3 linked regions of the Sus scrofa genome follow. The protein of the gene in region 2 purifies or fractionates together with the protein of the main gene of each other region. This does not show direct contact. Links are inferred from orthologs where the notes say so. Each region holds a gene or a part of one and is shown on either strand. Other genes may lie near its edges. The genes, in order: MED12L, CDK19 and MED12.

The links.
Region 1: the proteins of CDK19 (region 2) and MED12L purify together in Homo sapiens (affinity purification with mass spectrometry; 3 studies listed by BioGRID and IntAct, counting the BioPlex papers as one, with this or other methods). This does not show direct contact. The link is inferred for Sus scrofa from reciprocal best matches to the Homo sapiens genes CDK19 and MED12L.
Region 3: the proteins of CDK19 (region 2) and MED12 purify together in Homo sapiens (affinity purification with mass spectrometry; 10 studies listed by BioGRID and IntAct, counting the BioPlex papers as one, with this or other methods). This does not show direct contact. The link is inferred for Sus scrofa from reciprocal best matches to the Homo sapiens genes CDK19 and MED12.

The regions. Positions count from the first base shown.
Region 1 is NC_010455.5:91,571,060-91,576,604, forward strand, and holds part of MED12L (mediator of RNA polymerase II transcription subunit 12-like protein), read left to right. Parts: intron 1-260; coding exon 261-396; intron 397-886; exon of another isoform or gene 887-1,136; intron 1,137-1,216; coding exon 1,217-1,378; intron 1,379-3,160; coding exon 3,161-3,523; intron 3,524-5,368; coding exon 5,369-5,525; intron 5,526-5,545. UniProt on the Homo sapiens protein: May be a component of the Mediator complex, a coactivator involved in the regulated transcription of nearly all RNA polymerase II-dependent genes.
Region 2 is NC_010443.5:76,597,148-76,602,692, forward strand, and holds part of CDK19 (cyclin-dependent kinase 19), read right to left. Parts: intron 2,509-5,545; coding exon 2,436-2,508; intron 2,017-2,435; coding exon 1,919-2,016; exon of another isoform or gene 1,862-1,918; intron 1,166-1,861; coding exon 1,087-1,165; intron 301-1,086; coding exon 34-300; intron 1-33.
Region 3 is NC_010461.5:57,156,191-57,161,735, forward strand, and holds part of MED12 (mediator of RNA polymerase II transcription subunit 12), read left to right. Parts: intron 1-428; coding exon 429-658; intron 659-1,377; coding exon 1,378-1,458; intron 1,459-1,590; coding exon 1,591-1,761; intron 1,762-1,964; coding exon 1,965-2,109; intron 2,110-2,275; coding exon 2,276-2,326; intron 2,327-2,653; coding exon 2,654-2,772; intron 2,773-2,960; coding exon 2,961-3,104; intron 3,105-4,079; coding exon 4,080-4,243; intron 4,244-4,454; coding exon 4,455-4,586; intron 4,587-5,031; coding exon 5,032-5,259; intron 5,260-5,436; coding exon 5,437-5,545. UniProt on the Homo sapiens protein: Component of the Mediator complex, a coactivator involved in the regulated transcription of nearly all RNA polymerase II-dependent genes.

The sequences.
Region 1 (5,545 bases), on a different chromosome or scaffold from region 2:
TGGTGCAGTGGGTTAAGAACCCGACTACAGCAGCTCAGTTTGCTGCAGCAGTGTGGGTTCAATCCCTGGCCGGGCACAGTGGGTTAGAGGATCCAGCATGGCTGCATCTGTGGCTCGGGTTCAATCCCTGGCCTGGGAACTTCCATATGCTGCAGATGTGGCCATTAAAAAAAATTAATTCTGTGCTTTATATAAAAATGCTCAGTTAAGAGTATCTTGGTTTTGGTTTTAAGGTGAAAATATTTTCTTTCTCCTCTTAGTGAATTATTCACAACAGTTCTTGATATGCTGGGTGTTTTAATCAATGGAACACTGGCCTCTGACCTATCAAATGCATCCCCAGGGGGATCTGAAGAAAACAAACGTGCATACATGAACTTAGTAAAGAAACTGAAAGTAAGTTTGTGATCTGAGCTTCTGTTGTATGTGGTTTGTTATCTAGTGCATATTGTCTTTTTTATCACTCTTTAAATCAGGTGCTATTTATTGCATTCAACTTAATACAATGTAATTATTTTGCTATCTGCTTAACTTCAGCTTCCCAGTACCCAAAAGTTGTAAGTATATATATAGCTGAAGATTGAAGATTTTTCTTAAAAAAAATTTCATAAAACATACACAATTTTTTAAGGAACTTGAGAAATCCATTATCAAATCTATAAGCAAAATACTAACATTAGATTTAGGATAAATTTGTTCTTAGACTGGCAACATGCAGTTGAAAAATACACATTTGCATTGATATTTCTGGATTCGATTCATTTGACTAGGCACTTTTTTGACAATTTTTGAAATAACACAGTTTTTGAAATAAACTGTAAATAAACAATTCAGAAAAGAAATCAAGATATCTGATGACCTTACTAATAAAATAACCAATGGTTACCTTGTAGTCTGACCCTGGATTGGAGAACGTGTTCCATGCTGCAGCTCCTGCCTTCTGGTTGCAAATACTACTCTGGATTTTTGTCATTTCAGCACTGTGATGTTTGTTGTGTAATAAGAGGGTCTTTATACATGTTCTATTTTCTACTTAAATAGAAGAAGTGAAACACACTCACAAACTGTCAATGAGAGCTGCGCCATAGACCATGTTTAAGGTTAAAGAACATTCCAGCTATAAAAAAAGGAAATGCTTCACAGGGGAACTTCCTTATAACTTTTACCTTCATTATAATTTCTGTTCCACTTCTCTCTCTCTTTTTCTTTTTTTTAGAAAGAACTGGGAGACAAGCGGTCAGAAAGTATTGACAAAGTTCGACAGTTGCTGCCTTTGCCAAAACAGACATGTGATGTTATCACTTGTGAACCTATGGGTTCCTTGATTGACACGAAGGGAAACAAAATTGCTGGATTTGACTCTATAGATAAAAAACAGGCAAGAGTAAATGTTTGTTTCTCATATATATATATATATATATAAATACATGAACTTAAAAAAAGACAAAATACGTTTCCTTGTCTTCCTACAGGACATATAAAACATCTTAAGTTTATTATTTCTTGATTTTTTAAAACATATCCTTGTCATTTGAATGCAGTGGTCATTGACATTATTATACAAATAGGTCAGATCTTTGAAGATCTTCATTTAAAACTTTCCCTGAGTTTAAGTGAATTTCTAAAGCCCAACACGGGAAAACTAAGTACAAGCTTAGTATAAAAGAAATACGGAAGATCACGTTTGATTTTACTGCAGAACTGGAAATAGAATACATTTAGTGAATGAGAAAATTCTTATTCTTATGTCTTGTAAGCTGTTTTGAGTAAACAATTCTTTTTAAAGTGATAGCACCTTATTTTCTTATCAAACAATATTGAATGAACACTTGATTTATATATGATATTAAACAAGTTTCTCTAAAACACAAGGAAAATGGTCTGCTATTCTTTCAGGGAACATTGAGCAACCACAGGTGTCTGAAATCACAGAGATGTAAGACAGAGCTCCTACCCTTAAGGGGAAGTAGATAGACAGTTACACTCCAGTGAGGTTTGTGTGTCCTGGTATGGAGTGCTAGGGGACAACGGGAAGAGGCCATCACACTCAGATGAGGGGTAGGTCGTCAGAGCCAGATCCTCAGGAAGACCGACACTTGAATAATTTTGGAAGTTTAAGAATTAGCCAGGAGGTAGGGCAAAGTGTGATACAGGTACAGGGAAGTGTTTTGCAAAGGCATGAGAGACTGTGTCTCGTAGGCAAATGCAGTGCTGGAGTAATTGGAGCGCCCTGAGTGCTGATAACCATATAGTTGTGGAGAGAGGATAAAGCTAGAGTCAGGGGCAAGTTGAGTTTGCAGTGTCAGTGGGCTCTCCAGTGGTGACGCATCTGGAAGCCATGCGGACATGTGGTCTTGGCACCCAGGAAAGAGGTGTAATGTCAAGAAAGATACTAAGAAACAGTCAAAATGTGGGTGAGTGGAAGAGTGTGTATGGTTAGGAAATGGGAGCGTTCATATGGAAGGCTTTGAGCAGTTATTTGCTCAAATTACTATGCCAGTGCAAGCACCAATTAATATTAAAAATAAGACACTTTTGTTTTCAGAAACAGAAAAACATTTGCTCTTCTAAACACAGTAGAGATAAGCTTGAATTGAAGGGCCTTATGTGTACCTGTTGGTACAAGTTAGTTCTATAGAATATTACTTAACTCATCAGAGACTGCCTAATTAAGGACATGAAAGGGACCTGTACTGAATCAAGTCTATACATGTTTGGATTGAAGTTAATATGAGCCCAACTAGAGGTGGACTCTAACTTGACTCCCAAGTTTTGTTTTATCTTAAAAACATAATAAATTCCAACGGTTTTTGATTTAGTACAGTAAGATCAACTTTGTAGTGTTTTTTTAGATTTTTTTTTTTTTTTTTTTTTTGCCAAAAAAATCTAACTGGAAAAAAATATCATTTACAGTAAAATTACTTGACTGTCTGGTATTACAGCCTGAACAGACTGCCTTGTGGTAGAAAGGACCAGACTGCCTTGTGGTATAACTGGACTTAAGGGTCTGGATTCTAGCTGCTGCTCTCAGGGACTCATTAGGTAGCCTTTCTGCTGTGTGCTGGGTTCTCTAAGCCCCCTGCCCCCTGCCCAAGCCAGAATGTCCTCTGAATCTGAAAAAGGTCTGAGGGTGTGGTCACAGCGCCTCATTTCACCACAGGGTCTCCAGGTCTCTACGAAACAGAAGGTGTCCCCGTGGGATTTGTTTGAGGGTCAGAAGAACCCAGCCCCTCTGTCCTGGGCCTGGTTTGGAACTGTCCGCATGGACCGGAAGGTGGTCAAGTACGAGGAGCAGCATCACCTCCTTCTGTATCACACGCACCCCATGCCCAAGCCCCGAAGTTACTACCTCGAGCCGCTGCCCCTGCCTCCCGAGGAGGAAGAAGAAGAGCCCACATCTCCCATCTCTCAGGAACCAGAGAGGAAATCAGCTGAGCTATCAGATCAGGGAAAAACCGCAACAGATGAAGAGAAGAAGACAAAAGGAAGGAAGCGCAAGACGAAATCCAGCTCCAGAGTTGATGTGAGTACGGGAAGTTAGGGGATCTTGGGTGCAGTCACTTCTTGTAGATTTACTGGTTCCTGAATTACGTCCCTAAGCAACACTCCTCATTGCAGTATAAGCCTGTTTGTCAGTTATCCTAACAAAGCTCAGCTGGAATTAACAGACCAGCAACCAACAGCTACTTGTCACAGCCAATAGGATCCTAGCTTTTGATTTTTCCTCCTACTTTTCACAACTTTAACTTTAGGCTTTGATTGTGAATAATATTTATTTAATATCTCACTGCCTCAATTTCTCAAATTTGAAACTTGAATTTTTTGACCTATGAAATCTCATCCTCTTACATGTTTTTTCTCATTTTTAAAAATTTTATTGTTGATTTACATGTTAGGATAATTTCTGCTATACTAACAAAGTGATTCAGTTATACGTATACACACGTTCATTCTTTCTGAGATTCTTTCCCCACATAGATTATCACAGAATATTGTGTAGGGTTCTCTGTAGTGTGTCACTGGCCAGTCATTCCATATACCTCCGTGTACATATGCCAATCCCAAACCCCCAGTCCATCCCTCCTACCCCTTTACGTATTTTTATTATGAGAAATGTCTAAAATATTTTTTGTATTTTGGGCAGTTGATATCAATAGTAAATTATCATAAAAAACTGTTTGCTTTCCCTAGACAAAGACCTATCTAATGTATTCAGTAGGACGTTTCTGAGATGTCATAGTTTACCATTCCCTCTTACTCTCCTCTATATTCTATCTCTTTACCACATTTTCAGACTTTATGAGAGATAAACAGTTTTTTGTTTCCTTTTTTTGGGGGGAGGCTACGCATGACAATGCTGGATCCTTAACCTGCTAGGTCACAGGGAACTCAAAAATAAATGTAATTTAAAATAGTTTTACTTCTTGTTTCCCTGTTAGCCTTCCTTACCAAGAACAATGTTTTCTTGATGACAGAAATCTAAGAGAAATTGAGAAATAACTTTCTAGAATTTATGTGTAAAATATTTTTCCAATTAAATTCACTAGAAAAATACTCGAGAGGGTCTTTGTGACATTTTTCTAAAAATTAAGAGTGGTTTTGTTGTGCAGTAAAATAAATAGTCTCAACTTGTCATTCAGTCATCATAGCTAATGATTGTTGCTCACCTATTTTTTTTTTAGCAGTAGGAGGAAATTTTAATTGGATATATTGCAGGGAACTTCCTTCATGCTTCAGGGCTAGACTAGAGAAGGTGGGACAGTAGGGGAATTGAGACATTCAGGTGTGATCCTTACAGACTTTGCGGCTACTCTAAAGAAGAGAAAGCCCTGGGCAAGAGGTGTGATGAGGAGACAGGGGAACAGGATAGAAGGGGAGTCTTTGGAGTGCTGTCTGTAAAAGCGTAACTAAGACACTGTCTAGGCCGGAGACCTGTTTGGAAGTGCTGTGGGCCTTCCTGGCTAATTTTCATCCAGGTCCTAGTTATCAGAAACCTTCTAAGATGAAGTGATCGGGAGACTCAGCAAATGAAGATGCTTTTTTGGTTGTGGGTGATGGTCACTCTTGGTGTTCTAAATGTGCTTTTAGTATTTTAAGTATGTTAAACACAGAAAAGATCCTGTTCCATCTTCCCACACTGTAGCCAAGTGCCTTTTAAGTCAAGGGAGAGTTTTAACTTGACTGAGTGTTTTGCAAAGAATATGTTGGTTCTCTTGCCCTCTGTCTTCCCGTTTGTCAAAATAAAATAGCCTTGTCTGCTGGGATAGGAGCTTTCTCAAATAATGTGACAGGAAGAATTCATATTAATTCTCTATGAGGTGCATGGTGTTAAGTAATTTTTTTTTTTTCTTCCCGATTTATGTTGAAGGAGTATCCACAGAGCGGCATATACCGAGTGCCTCCCAATTACTCACCTATTTCCTCCCAGATGATGCATCACCCGCAGTCCGCCTTGTGGGGCTATAACCTCATGGGTCAGCCCCAGCAGCCTGGCTTTTTCCTTCAGAACCAATCTCTTCCTCCAGGTATGTGATGAGAGGGCCAA
Region 2 (5,545 bases):
GAACATTAAAGAGTATAAAATCTGGGGAGGTACCTGATAATCTGACGGCATAACAGGCCCGCCTGAGTTTGTGCCTGAAGGCCCTAGCCGCGGTTTCTTGTTTGGAGGCACCTGATTAAGGCCGGAGTCCTGACTGTGCTGCAGCCCTGCCCCGGCACCCCCGGCCCCGGCCCCAGCCCCTCCTGCCGTCCCGTTGGTCTGGGTGCTGTTCTGCTGCTGTGGGGGTGCCTGTGGGGGGGCTGCTGCCTGCTGTGGAGGGGCTGTGGGCTGCTGATGTTGGTTCTGCTGCTGTTGCTGATTCTTATAAAGAGGAAAAAAAAAGTAAGCTTGGTATGGAACTAAATTAACTCTACCATTATATGATATGATGAGCAACTGGGGAGTGATCTCTGTGGGACACTATAGTGACTGGACCGACCAGAGAATGGAGCGGCCAAGGAATACAGCATCCTCCAAAGTCAAAGTGCTGAGCCCTGAACAGGACTCATTCTCTAAAGTTCATTTAGATTGCATAGTAATCCTCCAAACCAGTCACAGATATCCCACTGAAGGCCCACGGGGACAGAGGAAATAGACAGCAACTCATTAAAATAGCTAGAATAGTCTTTTCAATCAATTTGGAAAAGTAGGGCTGTGTGGAGTGAAGTCAGTTACGATCAAAGGACTGAATGATGCTTTAAAAGCAGCCTGCGTAAAGTGATGGTAATGACACCGAACAAAACAAACAAAAAAGGCAAAAATTAAGAACCAGAGAATGGGAGTTCCCACTGTGGCACAACGAGTTAAGAATCCGACTGCAGTGGCTCAGGTTGCTGGGGAGGCACAGGTTCGATCCCAGGCCTGGTGCAGTGGGTTAAAGGACCTGGATTCAGTCCCTGGCCCAGGAACTTCCGTATGTCGTGGGTGTGGCCATAAAAAAAAAAAATCAGGGAATAAAATATGTATAAAGCAAATCTGGAATTTCATTTATCTGTGAAAGAATCTTTCAAATGGCAAAGTACATCTACAATAAAGTAAATACATAATTAAATAAAAGGTAGTTTTATAGGAATTATTAGATTACCCTTCCCTTAGTATAGTTTATACCTTGTCACCTTTCTCTTCAGGCTCATCTTCATTAAGGAATTCTCGTTTGGGATATGGAATCTGGCAGCCAGCAAACACACTAAAAATCATTTAAAAAAAAAAAATCATGTCATGACCTAAAATCTACACTTATCATTGACCTTGTTAATTTAAAATTGTACTTTTCCCCCCTTATTTCCTACTCTTCATCTGTGGCTGGTATTGGCCTCTCAACATAATTTAAGCAATAAGAAAAGGACAATTTGTCGTCTAAGTTTTACACTAGTTCCACTTTCAATGGCAAATCTTAGCTGCGATTATTAGCTAGTTGACATGTAAGACACAGAACTTTCTCCATTCACACTTCATCAGGACTGAAAATAACTAAATGTGCATTTGCTTCAACAATGAAAATAATTTTTTTGTCCCTCAGGAAAAGCTGCACCTCTAATAAATCCAAGCACAATGTATACATGTGGGTGTAACAAGGCTGAGGAAATGGAGGGGTTTGGCAGCACAGCAGATAACACAGAATTTTTAAATTTCAGTTCCCTACATTGGTTTGGTGTACACTGTGCTGGCTGAGCCGTCTGTGAAAGTCCCATCTGTCTTAGCTTTAGTTTTTATCTGTAAAACTGATTAATGGTCATTCCTAAAATACTTGCTTTCATTCACACCTCCCTACAGCTTTGCCTGTGTCAAAACACAGAATCTGTCTCTTGACTACTTTTTCTCTGAGGTAGTATTAACGAAGAAAGTAAAATACTTTAGTAACAAGAGCGTCTCTTGCTTTCAGCCACCATCCAACATCTTCACCTCGGAGCCAAGCACGCAGAAAAGGAAGGATACATACTCTAATGTCGGCAAGGGGTCCTCCTGAAAATAGGGATCCTGCAGAGCCTGCTCTGAGGTAATTCTCTTGGTTGGATCCATAGTGAGGAGTTTCTGAAGCTAGAATAATACGTAAGAAATTGATAGTACGTGCAAAGTTTGTTTACAAGTCCATGTTTTGACTTTTGTGTTAATGTCTAACAGAATTAATATCAAACACCATTTTGTACAGCTCACGGCAACATTAATGTGAAACTGGCAGAAATCATTAGAAGACACACATTTACATGAAATTGGCACTTATCGTTAATATTGAAGCCCTTTTAGAATTTAATGATTTTTATGCTGATAAACCATTAGCAAAAATTAAGGCTAAAAATTAAGGGTGACATCTCAAAAGACTTAATTTTGCTCCAATATCCTCCTCTTTCTTTTCTTTGTAAAGAGGAGGAAAAGCTGGGACAATCCCACAGTAAGGGGGGGTGGGGTGAGGGCTGTGCTAAGGATCCTACTTCCCAGTCTGGGAGAGGCGCACCTACCAAGAGGAACACTTTGCTGTCAGGCTTGACCTTGTGTTTCTCCATGTACTTTATGAGGCTACTGTTGGCGTATCTGCAAAGGCATGACAATCACACATTATTGAGAACACTCACACAATTTACTTTCTTTTCTTTTTTTTTTTTTTTTTTTTTTTTTTTTTGGCTTTTTAGGGCCACATGTGTGGCTTATGCAAGTTCCCCAGACTAGGGCTTGAATCAGAGCTGCAGCTGCAGGCCTACACCACAGCCACAGCCACGCAGGATCCAAGCCACATCTGTGACCTACACCACAGCTCACGGCAACACCAGATCCCTAACCCACTGAGCGAGGCCAGGGATTGAACCCGCATCCTCATGGATACTAGTCAGGTTCATTACCGCTGAGCCACAATAGGAACTCCACAATTTACATTTTTAATGGAAAATGCCAGGATGGTTTTCCTGTAAGGTATGTGTTAATTTAAGCTGTTGATTTTACCAATGAGAAAAGAACAGGTAACCAAATGTTGGTAAATATGTGAAGAAATAATTGCTACACACTGCATGTAAACGTTTCTATTGTTCCAATCACTTTGGAAAATAAGTATGCATTAACCACTAGAGGTGAAAATATGAATATCTTATGACTCAGCAATTCCCTTCCTAGGTAGATACTCTCTATCAGATATGGTATAGAGTGAGTAAATGGGTATTCATTTTATTGTTCTAAATAGGCTACATATTTCAAGCATATATAATTCTTTCCTATATATAAAACATTTCCAAATAAAAAGATCAAAAAACAGTAGTTTATATTTTTGGTTAAAAAACCCTTAGGGAATATAGAAAAATATTAAGAAAAAATTGAAATCACTCATTTAATCAAGCTATTCAGCAATAAAGAAAACACTGTCAAGGGTCTGATCATTTTCCTTTGGCATTTTTTTTCTAGACATAGATATATATATGATATAAATACGGAGGCATTTTTGTTTCATTCTTATAAAATTAGAAACATACCATATAAATTGTCCTAATTTTTTTAATTTACTGTTGTTTTATAAAAGTTTTTCCTTGCCAAATGGTCTTTCAACTTATTATTTGTAGTAGCTGTATATTTTTTACTGTTACTAATGATGTTTGTTTCACAAAAGTTACAAAATGCAGGTCCTTGTAGGTAAATCTGGTAACATGATAGGGAGAGAGAACTACATGGCAGTGAGAATCAGAGACCCCCTACCAGACACTGACTCAGTCATTTACCAGTTGTGTGATCTTGGGCAGTTAGTTAAGCTCTGTGAAAGCCTTAAGTGCCTCATTTTAGCTGTGTGTGGCTGCTTTATTGCTTTCTTCAGATAAATTCTTAGAATTATTAGGTCAAAGGATATGTACATTTCAAAAGCCTTTTATGTGCTTGAGAACCTTGCCACACAAACCTGGCCCTCAGACCAGCAACATGGAACCTGAGAGCCTGCACCAGGAATGCAGATTCTTAGGCCCTATCCCAGATTCTGGATCACAATCTGCATTTTTCTTAATAGAAATTTATTTCCTCACAATTCTGGAGTCTAGGATCTGAGATCATCAAGTTGAAGGCAGGGTTGGTTTCTTTCTTCTTTTTTTTTTTTTTTTTGTCTTTTGTCCTTTTCAGGGCCACATCCACGGCATATGGAGGTTCCCAGGCTAGGGGTCTAATCGGAGCTGTAGCTGCTGGCCTATGCCAGAGCCACAGCAATGCCAGATCCAAGCCTTGTCTGCAACCTACACCACAGTCATGGCAATGCCAGATCCTTAACCCACTGAGCAAGGCCAGGGATCGAACCCACAACCTCGTGGTTCCTAGTTGGACTTGTTTCCACTGTGCCACAATGGGAACTCCCACAATCTGTATTTTTAACAAGGTCTCTAGGTGATCTGTAGGTACATCACAGTTTGAGAAGCATTCATTCTCAGCAGTAGCATATAAAGTAAATATGCCAACATTAGGTATTTTATTTAAAAAAAAAAAAAAACTCTGTGGGAGTTTCCGTTGTGACTCAGCAGGAATGAATCTGACTAGTATCCATGAGGATGCAGGTTCAATCCCTGGTCTCGCTCAGTGGGTTAAGGATTCAGCGTTGCCATGAGCTGAAGTACAGGTCACAAACACAGCCTGGATCTGGCAATGCTGTGGCTGTGGTGTAGACTAGTGGTTACAACTCCAATTTGACTTCTAGCGTGGGAACCTCCATATGCCAAGGGTACAGCCCTAAAAAGACTAAATTAAAAAAATAAATTTTTTTTAAATTAAAAAAATCTGGAGTTCCCGTCATGGCGCAGTGGTTAACGAATCCGACTAGGAACCATGAGGTTGCGGGTTCGGTCCCTGCCCTTGCTCAGTGGGTTAACGATCCGGCGTTGCCGTAAGCTGTGGTGTAGGTTGCAGACGTGGCTCGGATCCCGAGTTGCTGTGGCTCTGGCGTAGGCCGGTGGCTACAGCTCCGATTCGACCCCTAGCCTGGGAACCTCCATATGCCGCGGGAGCGGCCCAAGAAATAACAACAACAACAACAACAACAAAAAGACAAAAGACCAAAAAAAAAAAAAAATCTCTGCCACATGTGAAAAAAAATTTTTTTTCCTCCAATACCAGGAACATTTTTATTGGCAAGGTAGCCATTAAGTTTGGCAATGGAAAGAAACTTTAAAGTTTATGTAGAAATGGAGTCTCTCTACATGGCTTTGGTCTTTATGTTGAATCAGCTGATTACTGGGTTAACTCAAGATTCTAAGTTAGTTGTTTCTATCATAATATAAAATGTCTTGAAGTTGAGAAATCCTATTACTCAATTCCCATTGTGGTTGTTTCTTCTTATTCCTAGTATTCAAGTTAAGATGAATTATTTGTCATTTTCTGAATCATTCCCTTCCAGATTTGCTATAGTTTAGGAGCTGAACAGTTTTCAAAGTAATTCAAAGTCTCTATATATTATAAAGCATCTTATCAGATCATGTTTATTCAGCATTCAATTTTTAAAGTCAACTTATTTATTTCCTTTTACTTTTATTTTCATTTTGCCTTCTAATGAGCTAGTAAGAGCTGACATTTTGGAAAGATTACAGAAACTTCTATTGTTATCCTCCCCACTTCA
Region 3 (5,545 bases), on a different chromosome or scaffold from region 2:
ACCTCTGCCTAGACTCCCTTACCCACCCCTGTCATCAGAAAGCATAATGAAAGGCCTTCTGAGATATAATCTTAGCTTGAGCTCTATGCAGAATGTCTTTGGACATAATTCTAGTCTTTGATCATCTTACAGTTTAACAGAGTAGAGAAATAAAGAGTAGAATAAAAACAAGTGCTTAGGATCGGAGCGTTTTCATGTATAAATAGCAGAAATGCTGTGTTCCTTTATTAGATGGGGGGGCAGGAGGTAGGATAACCAAGCATACTTTGTCCCTCAACAGTTTGGGGGGCGTTGGGGGGTTTTGAGTCATTCCTATTCCTGCCTATTTCAGGTACCCTAGGAGCATCTTACCTTAGATGTGTCCCTCTCGCTTTCTGCCCATGTCTTCCATGCTCCCTTACTCATCTTTTCTCATTCCCTCCCTCCAGCGGACCCCCGAAGTGAGAGTGAGCGGGTGGAATTCTTTAACTTGGTACTGCTCTTCTGTGAACTGATTCGACACGATGTTTTCTCCCACAACATGTACACTTGCACCCTCATCTCCCGAGGGGACCTTGCCTTTGGAGCCCCTGGTCCCCGGCCTCCCTCTCCCTTTGATGACCCTGCTGATGACCCTGAGCGCAAGGAGGCTGAGGGCAGCAGCAGCAGCAAGCTGGAGGTGAGCTGGCTTTTCCTCACCCTAGATTGTTTCTTCCTGTACAGTCCCCTCTTCCTGGCTCCTGAAGTAATCTGAGGATCCTTTACCCAGTGATGAGGGTAGGATTTGCTTAGCGCTTCATAGTTTATTTACCAAGCACTCTCACATCATTTTATTATTATTATTATTATTATTTGATCCTCACAACTGCCTCGTTGAGGTATTGTTATCATTTTTTTGTCTTTTTTTTTTTTAGGGCCACACCCAAAGCATACGGAGGTTCCCAGGCTAGGGGTCAAATCAGAGCTACAGCTGCTGGCCTAGGCCACAGCCACAGCACCACGGGATCCAAGCTGCGTCTGTGACCTACACCACAGCTCATGGCAACACTGGATCCTTAACCCACCAAGCAAGGCCAGGGATCGAACCTGCATCCTTATGGATACTAGCTGGGTTTGTTACTGCTGAGCTACAACGGGAACTCCTGTTATTCTCATTTTAAAGCTGAATGAGTAAATCAACTGTAATGGAAAAAATAAAAATCATAAAATAAAAAAAGTAAAATAACGCTAAATGAAACCAAGGCCTATGGGGGCTAAGTGATCAGTCAAGGCTTGGATGTGGATCTTGTGCTCTTCCCAGTATGGTGTCCTGTCTCCAACTTCTGAGTCGACTTTTCTGGATGGTGGGGAGCAGCTCCTTGGGGCTAATGCGACTCTGCTTCTGTTCTCTGCCCTCAGGATCCAGGGCTCTCAGAGTCTATGGATATCGACCATAACTCCAGTGTGATCTTTGAGGACATGGAGAAGCCTGATTTCTCAGTAAGTTATATCCTGGTGTGGAAGAATCCAGCTCCCAGACACCTCCCACTGTGCCACTTTGGGGAGTTTCTTTATGCCCCCTCTTCCGTTTTGTCTTCCTCTAACCGTTCTGCCCTTTCGCCTTTCTCGTAGTTGTTCTCCCCTACTATGCCCTGTGAGGGGAAGGGCAGTCCGTCCCCTGAGAAACCAGATGTTGAGAAGGAGGTGAAGCCCCCACCCAAGGAGAAGCTAGAAGGGACCCTTGGGGTTCTTTATGACCAGCCACGGCATGTGCAATATGCCACGCACTTTCCCATCCCCCAGGTACCGTTCCCCACCACTTTGTGACCCTCTGTTCTGAGCCCAGGTTTCTGTCCAAGGACTGTGCCATGGGGTTGGAGCTGTTCTTGAGGGTGTGGTATGCTGGGCAGGGCTTGAGCACTGGGATGCTGAGGGGCGTGGAGCATGCTTTTTAAGAGGAGGGAGAGCAGTTCGTGCCGGAGTCTGATGGTGCCGCTGGGATGCAGGAGGAGTCATGCAGCCATGAGTGCAACCAGCGGTTGGTCGTACTGTTTGGGGTGGGAAAGCAGCGAGATGATGCCCGCCATGCCATCAAGAAAATTACCAAGGATATCCTGAAAGTTCTGAACCGCAAGGGGACAGCGGAAACTGGTGGGTTTGAGGTGCCTTAAACAGATCTCCCCCAAAGAGTGCCCTAGTCAGTCTCCCCTTCCCCAGCATAGGGAACTCCCAGTCATGTCCCGATGTCCTGTCTCTTGGAGTCTCCTGAGAGCTCTAGTCCTTTTGAAACTTCCCCCCTCATTCCCCCCCTCTGCAGACCAGCTTGCTCCTATTGTGCCTCTGAATCCTGGAGACCTGACATTCTTAGGTACCTCACAGTAAGCCCCATACTGCCCGCCCTCCCTCTCCCTTCCCTCCCTCAACCTAGCACCTCCCTGTACGTATTCCTCTAAGGTCCACATAGTCTGTGGTCCTCCAAACCTGTGCTTCACTGTCCCCTTCCCTTCAGCCCTCCCCCACCCCTTCCTTGAGCCTCCCTTCACCTCTTCCCTCTTCCTTCCTTCCCTCTCTCCCACCCTCCCGTCCTTCCCCTTTCCCTCCCCACCCATAGCCTTCTCTCCGTACCCCCCTCCCCACTCCCAGTCACCTAGTTACATCCCCTGTCCTGACTGGTCCTCTTCAACTGTCCCCTCAGGTGGGGAGGATGGGCAGAAGCGGCGACGCAACCGGCCTGAAGCCTTCCCCACTGCCGAGGATATCTTTGCTAAGTTCCAGCACCTTTCGCATTATGATCAACACCAGGTCACAGCTCAGGTGGGCCTAAGTCCAGTCCCCTCCCCATGTTCTGGCATCCTGTCCCGTCTTCCTTTCCTTCTGATCTTTTTTTCCACCCCCAAGCAGACTAAGCCTCCCGGTCGCATCCCTGTCTACTAGCATCCTTTTCCTGCTTCCCTGGTTCTTCCCACTTGGCTCCACTCCCATCTCACTCCCACTGCCCTTAGGTCTCCCGGAATGTTCTGGAGCAGATCACAAGCTTTGCCCTTGGCATGTCGTACCACTTGCCTCTGGTGCAGCATGTGCAGTTCATCTTCGACCTCATGGAATATTCACTCAGCATCAGTGGCCTCATCGACTTTGCCATTCAGGTGGGGAAGTTGGGGGGATGGGGGCGGAGGAAGGAGTTTGTGCTGTACAGGGTCAGAGGAACAAGAGCAGAGGCTCAAGCCAGTGTCCCAGGCGATTTGGAGGGACTGGAAGACTAGCATGGGGGGAGTGGCCCATGGCCCCTGAGATAAGCCAGCAGGAATAGAGACTCAAGTGCTCCCTGGGGAGGCCCGAGAGACAGATTAGAGCACTGGGCACAGATTGTCCTCCCACTGTGGAGTTCAGAGGATTGCATCCTGGGGACTGGTTAGGTTATTGCTGTGGGAGTTCCTCTTGTGGTTCAGCAGAAGTGACTCTGACCAGCATCCATGAGGACGCAGGTTCGATCCCTGGCTTCGCTCAGTGGGTTAAGGATCTGGCGTTTCCATGAGCTGTGGTGTAGATCGCAGATGCGGCTCAGATCTGGCATTGCTGTGGCTGTGGTGTAGGCCGGCAGCTGTAGCTCCGACTCGACCCCTAGCCTGGGAACCTCCATACGCCACGGGTGCAGCCCTATTAAAAAAAAAAAAAAAAAAAAAAAAAAAGGACTTCCCGTTGTGGCTCAGTGGTTAACGAATCCAACTAGGAACCATGAGGACACGGGTTCGGTCCCTGGCCTTGCTCAGTGGGTTAAGGATCCAGCGTTGCCATGAGCTGTGGCATAGGTTGCAGACGTGGCTCGGATCCCGCATTGCTGTGGCTCTGGTTAGGCCGGTGGCTACAGCTCCGATTAGACCCCTAGCCTGGAAACCTCCGTATGCCGCGGGAGTGGCCCTAGAAAAGGCAAATAGACAAAAAAAAAAAAAAAAAGATATTTTAGCTTGTGTCACTAATAAAGGACGGTGACATATGCTCCAGGGCCCTTCCATGCTGAGGCAGCTCCAGTAGTAAGGGGCTCCAGTTTTCTCACAGAAAGGGGGGTTATGTATAATACCCAAGGCCTTTTCTCATCCCTCAACCCCTACTCTCTCTGCTAGCTACTGAATGAACTGAGTGTAGTTGAGGCCGAGTTGCTCCTCAAATCCTCGGATCTGGTGGGCAGCTACACCACCAGCCTGTGCCTATGCATCGTGGCTGTCCTGCGGCACTATCACGCCTGCCTCATCCTCAACCAGGACCAGATGGCTCAGGTCTTTGAGGGGTAAGCAGGGCTTCCAAATAACCAAAACCCTCAGGGCCCTGGTGAAGGCCAGTGGAAGTGGCCTGCGAAGAACGTGTGGGGCTGGCTCTCACTATAAGGAAGTGCGTGCCATTCAGGCGGGGAGGGGAGAGTATTGCCAAGGGACAGGAATCTTGGCATCCCGGCCCCCATTGCTCCGGGTGCACTTCCTGACCTTGCCCCCTCGCAACAGGCTGTGTGGCGTCGTCAAGCATGGGATGAACCGGTCTGATGGCTCCTCCGCAGAACGCTGTATCCTTGCTTATCTCTATGATCTGTACACCTCCTGTAGCCATTTAAAGAGCAAATTTGGGGAGCTCTTCAGGTAAGAGAGGTGGAAGGTAAGGGGTAGAGAGTGGGATCTCATCCCATCTCCTTCCCGTTACTGCCCAACTCAGGAGCAGAGCACAGCCCAGGACCCTGCTGTCTCTGCAGAGTCTTTGGGGGACTGTGTCGTCTGCGTGTTCTTGCTTCCTGAGAGCAGGCCTCTTTCCTCATCAGCCTTTCCTCCAGCCTGTGTCTGTGGGGCCTACGCTCCTCCCTGCCCCGACTCCCCACCACCACCACCTCCAGAGGCCCCTGGGCCTTATTCTCACTGGGTTCCTTTCCTGCCCAGTCCGTCTGCTTTGTCCCATATCCCTTTTTCTGGCCCTAAGGCGCCTGGTCCCTCACTTTCTCCTTTTATTTTTCTTTTCTCCCCTTCCCTGACCAACCGTCTAGCTCACCAGCCCTTCCTCAACCCTGCTCTCTCCTTTCCCCCACCCCTGCAGCGATTTCTGCTCCAAAGTGAAGAACACCATCTACTGCAATGTGGAGCCGTCAGAATCTAACATGCGCTGGGCACCCGAGTTCATGATAGACACCCTGGAGAACCCTGCCGCTCACACCTTCACCTACACGGGGCTAGGCAAGAGTCTTAGTGAGAACCCTGCTAACCGCTACAGCTTTGTCTGCAATGCCCTTATGCACGTCTGTGTGGGGCACCATGATCCCGATAGGTATGGGGCGTACGGAGTGACAACTTGGGCACCACGCTCCCGCCTGATATTGGGAGGGATGAGATGTCCGGGAGGTACCGCAACCTTGGTTTTGGCTAGGGTGGAGATGCAAAGTTAATGAGTCTGAGGTTTTGCCAGAACAAGGTCTTTCCTGAGGGCATTTGTACTTTTCCCCAGGGTGAATGACATCGCAATCCTGTGTGCAGAGTTGACCGGCTATTGCAAGTCTCTGAGTGCAGAGTGGCTGGGAGTGCTTAAGGCCTTGTGCTGTTCCTCTAACAATGGC